Linked DNA regions of Arabidopsis thaliana. The protein of the gene in region 3 interacts with the protein of the main gene of each other region in a pairwise test. Each region holds a gene or a part of one and is shown on either strand. Other genes may lie near its edges.

The links.
Region 1: the proteins of BEE3 (region 3) and WRKY36 interact in a two-hybrid assay, tested with the Arabidopsis thaliana proteins (one large-scale study listed by BioGRID).
Region 2: the proteins of BEE3 (region 3) and ATH1 interact in a two-hybrid assay, tested with the Arabidopsis thaliana proteins (one large-scale study listed by BioGRID).

The regions. Positions count from the first base shown.
Region 1 is NC_003070.9:26,276,373-26,281,212, forward strand, and holds WRKY36 (WRKY DNA-binding protein 36), read right to left. Parts: upstream 2,884-4,840; 5' UTR 2,745-2,883; coding exon 2,679-2,744; intron 2,500-2,678; exon of another isoform or gene 2,153-2,499; coding exon 1,616-2,152; intron 1,515-1,615; coding exon 1,401-1,514; intron 1,313-1,400; coding exon 866-1,312; 3' UTR 576-865; downstream 1-575. UniProt on the Arabidopsis thaliana protein: Transcription factor. Interacts specifically with the W box (5'-(T)TGAC[CT]-3'), a frequently occurring elicitor-responsive cis-acting element.
Region 2 is NC_003075.7:15,914,027-15,919,816, forward strand, and holds ATH1 (homeobox protein ATH1), read right to left. Parts: upstream 4,128-5,790; 5' UTR 3,514-4,127; exon of another isoform or gene 3,363-3,513; 5' UTR 3,180-3,362; intron 2,863-3,179; 5' UTR 2,848-2,862; coding exon 1,999-2,847; intron 1,907-1,998; coding exon 1,563-1,906; intron 1,471-1,562; coding exon 1,410-1,470; intron 1,007-1,409; coding exon 839-1,006; 3' UTR 644-838; downstream 1-643. Other genes in the region: AT4G32970 (BRISC/BRCA1-A complex protein), read right to left, coding at 20-274. UniProt on the Arabidopsis thaliana protein: Transcription factor which may be involved in the signal transduction pathway downstream of the COP1 gene. Controls floral competency as a specific activator of FLC expression. Is responsive of the nuclear import of SHOOT MERISTEMLESS (STM).
Region 3 is NC_003070.9:27,758,249-27,762,065, forward strand, and holds BEE3 (BR enhanced expression 3), read left to right. Parts: upstream 1-1,692; 5' UTR 1,693-1,778; coding exon 1,779-2,150; intron 2,151-2,260; coding exon 2,261-2,377; intron 2,378-2,465; coding exon 2,466-2,531; intron 2,532-2,605; coding exon 2,606-2,674; intron 2,675-2,777; coding exon 2,778-2,855; intron 2,856-3,014; coding exon 3,015-3,098; 3' UTR 3,099-3,308; downstream 3,309-3,817. UniProt on the Arabidopsis thaliana protein: Positive regulator of brassinosteroid signaling.

The DNA.
Region 1 (4,840 bases), 1.5 Mb from region 3:
AGCGTTATAACCGGAGTCGCTGACGTGGATGGGCCGAATTCTAAGATAGAAAACGGTAGTAACGGGCCTGAGCCCAAGATTGATTTAAAAGTAATATCTGATGGATCATAGTTTCATACGTTTTCTTTCTTTTGGTCATTTTGTTTTCTTTCCTTTTTAAGAATCGACCATCTAAACATTTAGGTGGCTCAAACAATTCAGACATCTTCATTTCGGTCAAATTCATCACAAATTTATATTTGATAATTGAGGGAAGTAAAATAATCAATTCTTTTATGTAAATAATTTTAATGGTGACTACAATTTTGACCATCAAATTAGTAAATGTCTGTAGCAAAAAATAATAATAATCAAATTAGTAAACAATACGTATGTGATTTCAAATAATAATACGTTGTGTTGATAATTTGTCAAATAACCCACTATTTTATGTGATGCTAACTAAAGTTTATTTTGTAAAAATCAAACAATTTTGCAAAAGTGAAAGAGGGAGATTTTGTCAATCTGCATGAAAACCACCTTCCATTTTAGATATCATTGTGTCATCATAGTCATACTTACTTAATTCACCAACAAAAAAAATTAACATTGTATTTAAAATTTTTATAAGCATAAAAAAATATTTGGTGTATCAAATTTGTGTAGACCATTAATTTACAAAACCTTCATATACATATATAATCCATGATATGATAGGTAATCCACTAATTTAAACATTTGGATATCTACAAGTATATAAGCATTTTGCATATCATGCCAAAACCAGATCTCTCTTTCAGAGGCTGAAAAACAAATGAATGACAAAGAAAACGGAAATCAGTTACTTTCTAGACTTGTGTCTAGCTATACCGATACAGTTACTGGCTTATTGCTGTCCGGAAAGTCTCGTTCGATAACGGGCCAATAATGAATCTGTACTCAACGGAGCTTGTGTTCGCAAGCCACTAAAGTTCAAGGTGTGGTCATGCGATGATGGAGGTGGAGGATCTGGAGAGGAAAAGTTGAGACTGAAAGAGGAGGACGATAGAGGGTAGTCGTCTGGTAACTGATTGGGATAGTTTGGTCGTGTGAGGTCCAATGTTACAGTCGGGTGCGAGTTAGTGGTGGAGATAGAGAAGTGGTGAAAAGGGAAGAAATAGCTTAGACTCGCTGAGGTGGAGGAGGAGGAAGAGGAGGAGCCAGATTGTAATAAGGAGGCAGCCGCGGAAGTTCCAGCTGCCATGTGGCTTGCTTCCATGGGGAGAGGATGGTCATGGTTTCCTTCGTACGTTGTCATAAAAGCGGAGGTTTCTTCTTCTCCACATCTTTGCACCTATAGACATTCGTTTTAAAAGTTTTTACTCAAAACCAATTGTTAATAAACAGATATTTGGATTGAGAAATTATAGAATGTATTATACCTGTTTTCTAACGGGACAATTTGACGACATGGAGCAACGGTAATAGGCTCGTGGGAGAGGATTGGTTTTCGCAGTCTTTTGACCATATTTCCTCCACTGGCAACCGTCGTTTATCTATATATATTCATGTAACGTGTATATGATCAAATAATTAAATTAGATGTGAAATGGTAAATAAACACATATATGTAATGTATGGTTTTGATGGTACGTACTGATGGGTCTTCACATGATGCTTTAACACAAACCCTAGTTTTCTTCAAACCTGTTTGTTCATGCTCCTCCAAAACATCTTGATGGTTTTCATTTCTAACTGATTTGACATCTTTCCTCGAAGATACACATTTATTTTCAGCGTTTGCAAGCTTAACCTGCCTACAAAGATCATCTAGTTTCGAGGCTTCATAGCTTTGAATCTGAAATCCAAAACCCAGTGCAGATCTTTTATCTTTTGACTCCTCTACGTTCTTAGTAGAAATCTTGTCCACCTTATTTTCCTCCTTTTTAGAGATCTTTTGCTCTGATCTTCCAAGCCTAAGTGATATATCCACATCATAGTCGTTATTTTCATCTTGACGATCAATGTGGTCTAGCTCCATAGACGAAGCTCCTTGTTGTTGTCCGAGAACTTTAGAGACTTGCATTTGAAGAGAGTTGTAATTATTAAGAATCGTAGAGAGTAAGAGCTTTAATTTCTCATTTTCTTCCCGAACTTTCTCCACCTTTGCTTTTGTTGCATCAAGCTCCTCTTCCTGTAATATCCAAGACACATTTATATTCACTTTTTATCTAAAAACTGTTTGGACCTATCTTCTAAACTTCTACGATAAATAGTTCTCAATACACACAAAGTAAATAGTATTATAAAAGTGAACATGATCGAATGCCAATAAAGAAAAAAAGAAAAAAAATGGATCGATCCGACCTATATTAATTAGAGCGGATCTTAATTATAAATGTTTTCATCCGAAGTTTTCTAAATACCGGAAAATCTTGGTATCCTTGAGCATTAAATAACCGTCCCAAAAAAAATAATGAACTTTCGATACTCGAGACCATTTCCGAACAAGCAAGTTGACTTTTATCAGATGCAGTAAAACTGTATTAATTTCAGACATAAGAATTATATGGTAACTATATGTAAATATATAACAGAATCATATGATCATGAGATTAATTCTAACCGATTGAAACACCAGAAGGAGATTGAAAATAAAACAAGAATTAGAGAAATTTGTGGTTTAAACGGTTAAATCGAGAAATAGTGTTTTGTTTTACCTTGTCAGATTCTGCCATAACACCATCGAAAGTTTGGAAGTATGAAACGGTCTCCTCTTTGATCATGCTATTATATGATTCAGATGCGATCTTGAGATCAACTGGATCTGCTCTTTTTGTTTTTCTTCTTTACATCAAAAAAAAAATTATTGTCGTTTTCTTTTGCCTAACTAGGTTTTTATAGGAAGGGACCCAAAGCCAACAGACTTTGACTTCGCATTTTAATAAGAAGATATACAGACTAAAAATATTGTTTATAATGGTAATCACCACCACCATGTTACCAGCTTCGTCTCTATTCTTGAATAATCTCAACCAGACGACTCAGCATTATATAATAAGATAATGCCAATCATATAAATAATATCAAATTGTATTGCAATCCAGATGGATCTGGTCTGAACACTACTTCGGAATATTTCGTTTTTTTTTTGTTAATTGGCATCATAATTAAAGCATAGTAGTTGACATTGAGGCAACTAAAACAAGTTTTTTCTTTCTTTCTTTCGTCTGTACCGGAGTACCGGAGTACCAGATCATACTAGTTCTTCGCTAACATAAAGCTGTATGCATGGGAAACAAAAGCTGAGAGAGAAAAAAAACAATATTTTCTCTCTTTTTTCTTAGACCTAATATATGTCAAAAATTAATCCACAATCATTCTTTATAGGCAGTTCAGGGGTGAATGTATTTTTTGTGATATATTTGTATGTTTACTAGCTAGTTTTTAGATAAATTTTCTTTAACATTTAACGATATCTATTAAATATAAGAAATTTATATGTATCTTTAATCCTATAAAAATACACATATACTGTATACGCATAAATTTATGATCGGAACAAATATTCTAATTTTTTTTATTTATGTGCTATATTTTGATCTTTTTCAAATTGAATAAAGCAATCTATTTATCCAGCGTTAATCACTAACGGACACCGCATGAAATGAGTGCATTTTGTAAAAGAAACTTTCAGCTGTAAAACGCATTTTGTTCTCTGATCCAATGAAAAAATGACACATCATCGATCTGCAGCTACTTAATTACGTTGACCAGTTGGCAGAGTTGATTAAGTTTATGTTAGTCTTAAATTGCTAATTAATAGACACTGCATGAATTTTATAATGTTATAAAATTATAAGAATTTCATAATGAAAAGTTTATGAAATGTTAATTTATGACTAATGCAAGAACTTTCTATTTGGAAACGTAAGTTAAGGGGTTTATTAAAGAATAGTACAATATTAGAAAGGCTGCTTTATTGAATGATAATACAAACAACGAATGGTCATTTTATATTAGTTGAATACTTTATCGAATAACTTTTCTTTTTGGTGAAGATCAAACAGAGCTTTTTTCATCTTCACACGCATCAATGAGATCATAAGAAACCGAGCAGTACTTTTTTCAATCATAGAATACAATTATAACAAGCTATATCATGCAACTCAAAGTTTCTCCAGACTGGTCTCTTGTTCGACTCCTAAAATTCATCTTCCACAATCCGAGTGGGTTTACACCGTCGGCTTCAAGATTTTAACTAGGATGGACTTCCTTAGAAACTACATTTGCTTCTTTTAGTGTGTTAACCAGAAAAAAAAAAGATTTTCAACTAAAACTGAGACAATTAGGATTCCGAATACAATTTACATTGTTTGGGGATATTTCTTATAGCTCCACACAAACTTTTATTTTGAACTTATACTCCATCATCGTTAGACGATTTCGTCAAATCTCGTCTTAAACCTGAATCATTTGTCTATGGAAGTAATTTTATTTATTGTTTTAATATATTCGTAACGAGCAGCTAAATCACTAATACAGACATATATAAGGATTTTATAATTAAAGATTCTTCTGAAATTATCCTATTTCAAATAAAGTATACTTTTTAGATTAAACATTTAAATTTATATCCGAAATGTCATTGTAAATTAATAATATTCGATTTCGTGGCCTTGAAGTCGACCAATAATAAGGAGAGAAAGGAGCGCAGGATCCGGTTTTATTTCTACCATATATACGATGTCATTCCAATCTAGTGGTATTATAATAATCTAGATAGTTGAAATATTTATAATTTTAAAAATGCAAAAAATAATTTTTTATTACACAATAATGATATTATAGTCAATGATCTCTTACATCGTGCTCCAGAATC
Region 2 (5,790 bases), on a different chromosome or scaffold from region 3:
GGGAGAAAGTAAGTCTTACCCAAGCGGCTGACTGGGAGAGGGTAGCGAAAGCAAAGCGATGATCGGAATTTCTGGAGAGCTTGTCGTGGATAAAGCGAGTAATGGCTAGCTTGAGGCACTCGAGCCTGTTCAAAGGCTTACCGTTAGTTCCAGTGGTCTTCATCTCCACCGTCGATTCCGCATCAACATCGACGCATATGAGTATGTCTTCGCTGGGTTCCACCGAGTCTCGAGTGGCTACAGCTCCGGTCATGGTGGCTCTGTCTTCCTCCATTCGCCGTAAAAGGCTCCGTCTTTACACTTTCTTCCTCAGTTTTAGCAAAGTGTCTTCCTTTTCCTACTTTCTATTTCTAATTGTGTCCGTACCAGATGAAAACGCTGCGTTTTTATTAGTTGACCGAAGATTCTCAAGTCAAACCAAAATACGACGTCGCTTGCTAGGAGATTTTCGTCATTATTCATTTCAGTTTTTGGAATAATAAAACTCACTTGTAAGAGAAAAAAAGTTAAATGCAAACGGTGAAATAAAACTTTAGGTTTGTATTTTGTAGTTTGTTTGAATAAATATGAAAATAAATCTTCAGTGGTTACATACTTTTTATATATTTTCATGAACTTAATTTTATTTTTACGTAAAAATGGTGATCATGAAGTTTAATGAGGATGATGATAATTATGATATAAGAATACAGGATAATAAAATGAAATAGTCAAAGATAAAGGAGTTGTATATACAATTATAACATACGTAATGATAGTCGTACATGGTTTAGGTTTTGGGCAATCATAGAGTAGCAATTGCCTAATTATCACAAAGTTGGTAAACACAATTGTTGTCTTATTTATGCATTGCTTGGCTCATCATAACAGATTTTGGCATTCGAAGAGTTGGTCCGTTGGGTTGAATGTGACTGTTATTGAGCTTCCTCTTGTTCATTTCCGCATACATCTCTTCTATCATCGGCTTCCATAGCCTAACCCGCGCATTTATAAACCAGTTTGATACCTTTAATCACACACAACAAAGAGACACACTCTATATCATTTGCCCGCTTTAACTTACTTCAGTAACAAAACATATGTGCGACTACAATCCTAGGACTTGAGTAACATTATTGTGAATTCAAGAATACATAATCTAGTCTCATTTGTAGTTCAAGAGAAAAGCTTGATTTTTTCCTAGCCCTAATCTCATCTTAAAATAACCAATACCGGTTTTTCAGACATGACTAGTATGTCAAGATATATATTACTCATTTGAATACCATATTTGCTATCATTGTGAGCAAAGATGTTATCAATAAGTCATTGCATAAGAAAACAAAGATCTTATCAATGAGTCATTGCATAAGAAAACAAAGCTTGTTATCAATGAGTCATTGCATAAGAAAACAAACATGAGACATTACCTGACTTCTTGTCAAGCCACTTCGTATAGCTAGAAGATGTTTCTCCGAATCTTTCGGGTAACTGCATTAAATAAAACATAACTTTGCTTATAAAATCGAGTTAACAATGTCATCATCATAAAGTAGATAGTTAAGAAGAGTAAGGATTGTTACGGGTGAAGGAAGTTTTGGAACATCCAATTCCGTAGAACCGAAACAGATTTCTCAGGCAAACCTCGTTGAGGTCTCCAAATCTGATGGTTCTTTCGTTTCAGCTGCTGAAGAAGGCAATGCTGGTGGAACATAGAGGTTTCTTGAGTCTTGTCTTTGCCTCTCTCCAATACAGATCCCATAGAGATTATCTTCTTGCAGATTCTCTCTCTCAGGTTCTTGTATAAGAAGGAAACGGTTTGGAGGGCAAACCGGGTGTGTAACTGTGGATCTAACTCGGTTGCAGCATGGAACGCTGATATAACCGTATGAATCTCATCTACGCAATGACTATATCGATCATCCACCTGAAGAGAAATATCAACTCATAAAACTTCATCATATATATCAAACCATTTTTTTAACTTATGCAAAAAAAGTGAATGAATATATTACATACCATTTGAAGAAGATCCAAGAGATGGGTTTTCTTTGCTTCTAATGCTCTCCTTTGAAATGTAGATCCGAAACCCGCCTCCGAGTTATTAGAATCACCATCAAGAAACTCAGTTATATTCTCAAAACGTGAAGTAAAGGCTGAACTAGCAGCTCCTGACTCGGTTCCTCGAGATGAATAATCGAGCGAGTATGCGGCGAAATGAGATAGTATTTCTTGAACAGAGTGAAGGTATTTTGAGCCAAATATAAGTTGAGAGAAACCTTGAGTAACAACGTTATTAGAAATGTCTTTGCTGCTGCAAGAAGCTTGCTCTGAGGCTAATCTTGTAGCTGCACAAAGACTTATCTCCGAGCATTCATCAGAAACATCTGATGCAAGACTCAATGAAAGCTCATTGTTTCTTTTATTCGAAATTAGAAACGGGAAATCTTCTTCACCGAATGTAGACATCATTGGTTCACTTGGACCAACTACACCTGAAAATGCCTGAAACTCACTATTTGCTTCAAAACCCCACATGTTGTTTGAGGAATCATCATAGTGTCTTAAATGATCCAAAGGATGAAGTGGAGGAGGATGAGGAGGAGGAGCCATGAACTCAACATTGCGGTTATCTTGAACATCGATAGACCGTGGAGAAGATGATAAGTATTTGTTAGTCAGCATAGAATTGAAAATATCAAAGCCACCCATTTGTAGAGGATCTGATCTGATGGTATTCCATGGAAGCATTGTTGAGAATGAAGTTGAATCTTCTCTTGAAGGTATAAAATCCATGAGAAGAGGATTTTGGTTAGTCATGACATTATCCAGAGAACTAAAAGTGTTGTTGTTGTTGTTGTTGTCCATTGGGTTTCTATGAAACTGCATTACCAAAGAAGACAAGTATTTAAGACTTAGACAAAAGATTTCAGAAAATCTAAGAAACCAAATCTTTGGAGAATAGTACTAAATGTAAAATGCTGCAAGAGACAGAGAACATCGCTCACTATGTCATTAAATATTTCATTAAAATATATAAAGAACCGAAACATGAGTTAATGAAGCCGTAACTAGGCTCAATGATACACAGACCAATAATATCTCAAAGCTATCTGTGATAAACAGTGAACTAATAAGTAAAAAAGAAAGCTTTAGATTACTACAAATGTCCATAGAACATTAAAAATGTTGAAACTTGCCTTTATCCTTCTTCTTCTGATAGAACCTTTGGGAAGATTTCAGACAACACAACGTTCCAAAGAGAATTTTTACATCAAAATTTCCAAAATGTGTGTTAAAAACTGAAGAAGAAGATAATGCTTATTTATCTTCTTTCTCCGTGAAAGAACAGTGTACTTTCATTCCGCAGCTTCTCTATGTTCCTAAAGAGAACCAAAAAGCAGAAATCAACAATAAAGTTAGTATTCATAAATTAAAGAGAACAAAATAATGCAACAAAACTGAAAAAGAGAAAAGTGGGTCTGATTAATCTCTTTTGCATGAACGCAAACACTTACAAAAAAAATTACTTACTTTTTCTTACAATAATTTCATGAAGAAATTCATAATCTTCATCATCTGCCTCACTAAAAGATTCAGAGCACTAGATCAACAAATAGCAACATTTTATAACTAAATAAACAAACCAAAAGTTGTATTATCGAGGGGAAAAATACAACTTTAATATTCAAGAAAGAAGAAGTTGAAAAGAAGGAGGGCCAAATCACGTACGGAGCTGCCTCTGTTTATGACACGAATCCATTTTCATATCTTTAAGATCTTCCGACCAAAAAAAAAGATAAATCAGAATCAAGAAAATCTTATATATAATCACTTTCTTAAAATGTCATTTATTTAAAATGTTGTTCATAGAGAAAGAGATGAATCTAGTAAAATTATCTAAAGAAAATATATGGTTGAAACAGAATCGAAATCCAAAAAAGAAATCCAAAGACATGAAGAAGACCGATGTGTTACTGTTTACTACAGAGAAGTGCACTCATTTCTGTTGCAGGCTTTAAATTAGGGAAGAGACCCTACATTTTACTATTTACATGTCTCTATATATATATATATGTATGTGTCTCTATTTATAAAATTTTATAAAGTTATAAGAAAATGGTGTTGTCTTCTTGTGCTGGTTTCAATTATCACAAATCAGAAAGAGGGAAAAAAGTAAAGAAGGGTGAGATCTTTTTTAGCCATTTAAGGAGAATTGATGAGATGTGTGATCCATTTGGGTTCTTGCTTTTTCTTCTTTCTTTTCTCACCACTCGTGTCTTTGTATTGTGCCATCAAATCTTATATCCATTTACGTATTTTTTTCATATAAGTTTTTTACGTAAGCTTTACAAAAATATCAATCAATTTGCTTGGCCTTTTCTTTGATTGTTCCTTTCTTATCATTTTTATTTATTTATTTATTTATTTTAAGTTCAATGTGTCGTTATGTGTTACGTCTTTATTATCATGGCTAATGATGATGGAATTGAACTCTATTACTCGTAGACTATATAGATTGCAACATCTGAAATTATGCTCTTCTTTATTACAACCAAAAGAAGAAGAAAATCTAATGGTACTTGATTTGATCTGTATTAGCGTGACTTGATCTGTATTTTAAATAATGTTAATGGTACTTGCCTAAACAATGACTTTCTAAGCTGGTATGAGACAAAGAAAAGGGTCAAGGACAAGTATCTTGCATGGCCACTCCAAGCAAAATTGGATATTGATTTGGTGAAACAGTTATTGTTGTTCGTATAGGACAAAATTATTTTCAATAGAAATCGATAATTATTGATATCATATCCTTATTATTGTTTGCTTACAAGTCTATATTATTTAATAGTTTGAAATTTTGATTTAGTAAAGCAGAATAGTATCAATAACACTAGGAACTATAGTACCGACTATTAACTGAAGCTGGAATGCATCTTTAATCATGCCTACGATCTTAATCAATAACACTTATTAATGTTAGACTATTAGACCCGTGCTCATAACTTTTGGGTCCTAGGCGAATTATAAAAGTTACTTTTTTTTGTTGTCTGATAGTCCAAACAAGAACTTGTAATGCTTTTTCTAAAATGAAACAAAATGTACGTTGGCTATGGAGCCTATCGACTCCAGCACCAGCAGATGCTTAATCTACTCCATAGACTAGAGCGCTTTTTATCTGAAGTCGTATAATTTCCCAAGTCATTTGGCTTAATTATTGTGTATCAACTTATACTATATGCTACTGATGTCTTGCTTAGAATATTATACAAGTTCATTGACTTAGAATTATATATAGGCAGACTAAGCAAAATGGGAATAAATGATCACAGAGGGCATTAACTAGTTCACTGAGGTTCAACAATCTACTTGATCTTAACTCCTTTCGAATTAATATAGAAGTCGAGCACTTGAGGATCAGAAAACACACATTCATTCTCAGTGTCTGAAGCACTTGAGGGTCAGAAAACACACATTCATTCTCAGAGCGGCGTATAATTTTAAGATGTCAATCGCTCTTACGTAAAGATCGATAGCCATCCACCTAAACATATGCAATACTCCTTCTGTGAACAAGAAATTTATTGATAAAACCAAGTGTGTTAGCAAGTTAATCTTTACATAGAAATCAAGGACTCACTCTTAATGACCAGCAAAGTGTGTTAGCAAGTTGAGTGACCAGCAAAATTCTAACCCTAAAAAAGTAATGTAGAAAGCAAGCCCTCATTATCACCTTTACCGTGACATTTGGATTTCCATCTCTATCACCACCCATCCAGGAACCAAACTTTAGTGGATTCATTGATGCAA
Region 3 (3,817 bases):
CCATCAAACTAATAAACCTCAAAATGTATTTAAAATTGAAGACAAAACATTTTTTAGTAAAATTCTTTTGAATGTTTAGTAGTTACTACTCTTTTAGTTTTTATGGTCTCAAATTTTACAAATTTTTTTTTTGACTTTTTCTTTCTTTTTTTTTTTTTTTTTTTTGCCATCAATTGACTTTTTCTTTCTTACAATTATGTTTTTGTTATTTGTTTTGTTTTTTTAGACCCAGTAATACACTCATGGTCGGGCCTGGTATGTTATGTAAAGTTTGATATGTAGCATACATCTTGTATTCAGTTACTGTTTTCCTCAGTTATGTCGTTTTTGGATTTCTTTCTTCAAGTTGGGGTTTGCTATTTGTTTCAGTTGTAAATCAAAAACTTTGAATTGGCTGCTATTTTTGTCCAACACTATTAGGGACTAAAGACTCGTTCAAAATCTTATATATGTCGTCTGTTCCTAAAAAGCTTTGGAAATTCAAGGGGTTTTATTTTATCAAAAAGAATTAAAAAATCAAGGGGTTTAAAAAGATTGTCGAACAATTATTCAAAAGATTTGACCATTTATGCTTGTTATCAGCACTTCCGGTGTGTCAATTAGTTAAGTACTGTATTAAAAATAACAATGCCTAAAGTCAAAACAACAAGTTAGATTGAGTCTTGAATGCATATGTAACTGCATGTGATTTGATCAGTTGAAAATGGTATATAGTGATAGGTCAATTTACTTAATTTGATAGGAACCTAATTGTACTATATAGTAAAATATACCAGAAAGAAAAACGTTTTCAGAAGTCTAGAGACACCAAACCAAGTTAAAACGAACTTATATTGATTTCGACATTTTAAGTTTCAACTTAGACCACATTTTAAATTTCAAAGTAGACCTAGCTAAGTTAATTAATTATGTTTATTCAATAAACTATAAATATAGATAAATCGATCATGACATGTATTCTGCTACTAGTTTGTGGCAAGGTGGTCGATACGTCTTAATTCGGATGTAAATCTGCATAATCCACATATTGTTTTCCAAAAAAAAAAAAAATTATAAATAGCCAACATTAATTTAGCTCGTATACTATCACATCACATTATAAGTATCATACAAAAATATTTCTTTTGTTTAACATAAATAGGTACTATTTAACTAAAAATGTTAATACTATTTGAAACCAGTGAATATCATCAATCAAACTATTCTTGAATATAATCCATACAACTTTTTATTCTTCTTACCAAAGTGTTTAATACTAAACGGTAAAATAACTAAAACTGTATAACCAATGAAATCTTAAATCCATATAGCAAATGCAATCAATGTACGATAATAGGATTGGATTACTCGCTCGTTGGTCACAAATCACAATAGACTAGAAGAAGAAAGCAGAAAAGGGAGCACCAATTGAAATAAAATACTTTGTTGAGGAGGTCTTAAGTAAGTACTTCCCCCTTGAGAAATAATGAAAGAAGTTTGCTTAAACAGTGCTCACTGGTCCGGCTACCAAACGTTGGCCCACTTCTCTATTTGGATATATCTCCTGATAAATTATGTGTGACCCACTCCTATACAAAAATCCCATAACTCTCACTTTCATTGGCCCTCCTTTTTTATTTTCTCATCTTTTTGATTAACCCCACTTTTATTCCAATTTTTTTCAAAAAAATAATAATAAGAAAACTCTAGTCTATATATAAACATTGCCACTCGCTCGAAAACAGCCACTTTCTATTTTCACCAATTTTCAAAAAAAAAATAAAAATTGAAACTCAGAAATGGCGAATCTCTCTTCTGATTTTCAGACATTTACAATGGATGATCCCATAAGACAACTAGCAGAACTGAGCAACACGCTTCATCATTTCCAAACATTTCCTCCTCCTTTCTCTTCTTCTCTCGATTCTCTTTTCTTTCATAATCAATTCCCTGATCATTTTCCCGGAAAATCTCTCGAGAATAATTTTCATCAAGGGATATTCTTCCCTTCTAATATCCAAAACAACGAAGAGTCTTCTTCACAATTCGATACCAAGAAGAGAAAATCATTAATGGAAGCTGTTTCTACGTCGGAGAACAGTGTCTCTGATCAAACTCTCTCTACCTCTTCTGCTCAAGTTTCCATAAATGGAAATATTTCGACAAAAAATGTATTTTATTAACCTAGAAACCCTAATTTCACACACATATATTAGAGTACTCTCAGTTTCTATGAATTAATCTAACTTTGTTTTTCTCTTTTTTCTTATTGATATCACAGAATTCTTCAAGGAGAGGGAAGAGGTCGAAGAATAGAGAAGAAGAGAAAGAGAGAGAAGTTGTTCATGTTAGAGCTAGAAGAGGCCAAGCCACTGATAGCCACAGCATAGCAGAACGGGTAAAATTGATTTTCTCTATACAAATTATAGTGTACATAAATAATATAAATGAAAACTATGAGTAAAAAAATTAAAATTAACTTTCAGGTTCGACGAGGGAAAATAAACGAGAGATTGAAATGCTTGCAAGATATAGTCCCCGGATGTTATAAGGTGATTATATTTTGCTTAGACTTTAAGAAAATATATTATTAGTTCTTTTATTGAATATATATTTGGTGATGCAGACAATGGGAATGGCTACTATGCTTGATGAGATAATTAATTACGTCCAGTCCTTACAAAATCAAGTCGAGGTATAACAATAACAATTAATTTCTCTTAAGTTATAGGTCATCTAACCAATTCCATTCGTTTCAATAATTATACTAATTTACTTTCTTTTTTATGTGAACTCAGTTTTTATCTATGAAGCTTACAGCAGCAAGTTCGTATTATGACTTTAACTCGGAGACTGATGCTGTGGAATCCATGCAGGTACAGAATCTAGAATTATAACTTTTAATTAAAATTTTCTCGTAAGACTGGTGATGTTTGCTATGATTTATTTATTTCTTAATTTAACTATATGGTTTGATGTGATTATAATTAGATGATTTAAATATCGATTTTTAATTGGAATATTAAAATGCGCAGAAGGCAAAGGCACGTGAGGCAGTGGAGATGGGTCAAGGGAGGGATGGGAGTTCTGTCTTCCATTCATCATCGTGGACCCTTTGACTTTTGTTTTTTGCTCTCCTTTTTTTGTCTTTCTAATTTTCTTCCTTTTTTTGGATTTAAAAAGATACTTTTAAAGATTAATTTCAAGAAATCTCGATGCCATATGATATGTATACTTGTGTAACTTCGACATTACAAATATATATACTGCCTCGAGATTGCATTCAAAGTGGGGATACATAACGATCAAAATTTTACCGAGCAGACAAAAGTCGGAACCACAATGAATTAGTGTCAGTCTATCCAACCATATTTTTGACATAAGTTTTAGTAAGATCCCACAATAATTTTGACAATATGATTGATTCTTAAAGTGTTTTGAAAGTTGTAGAAGCGAAGCCTCCTCATCAATCACACTTTAGAGAATAGTAATGAGGAATGTTATTTCGGCTTAGCTAGTTAAAAACTATAATACGATTAGTGTATAATAAGTTCGAATATAAGCCTATAAGGCAGTTTATAGAAAATATAAATCATGTTGTCACGTAAATGTAGTATCAAACATTCAAACTTATTATTTTTTTGTATGAAACAAAGAAATATATATCAATGTTAGTAAAAAACAAGGAAAAATACATATAATCTCTTCAAATTTTCAAATCAGCCACAGCTGGAAAGCCTTGAACGTCCAAAACAATAGTCATCAAATCTCAGTTTTAAGAAAAATAAAAAGAATATTTAATATTTGGAAGTGTCTACATTATATTTACAACAATATA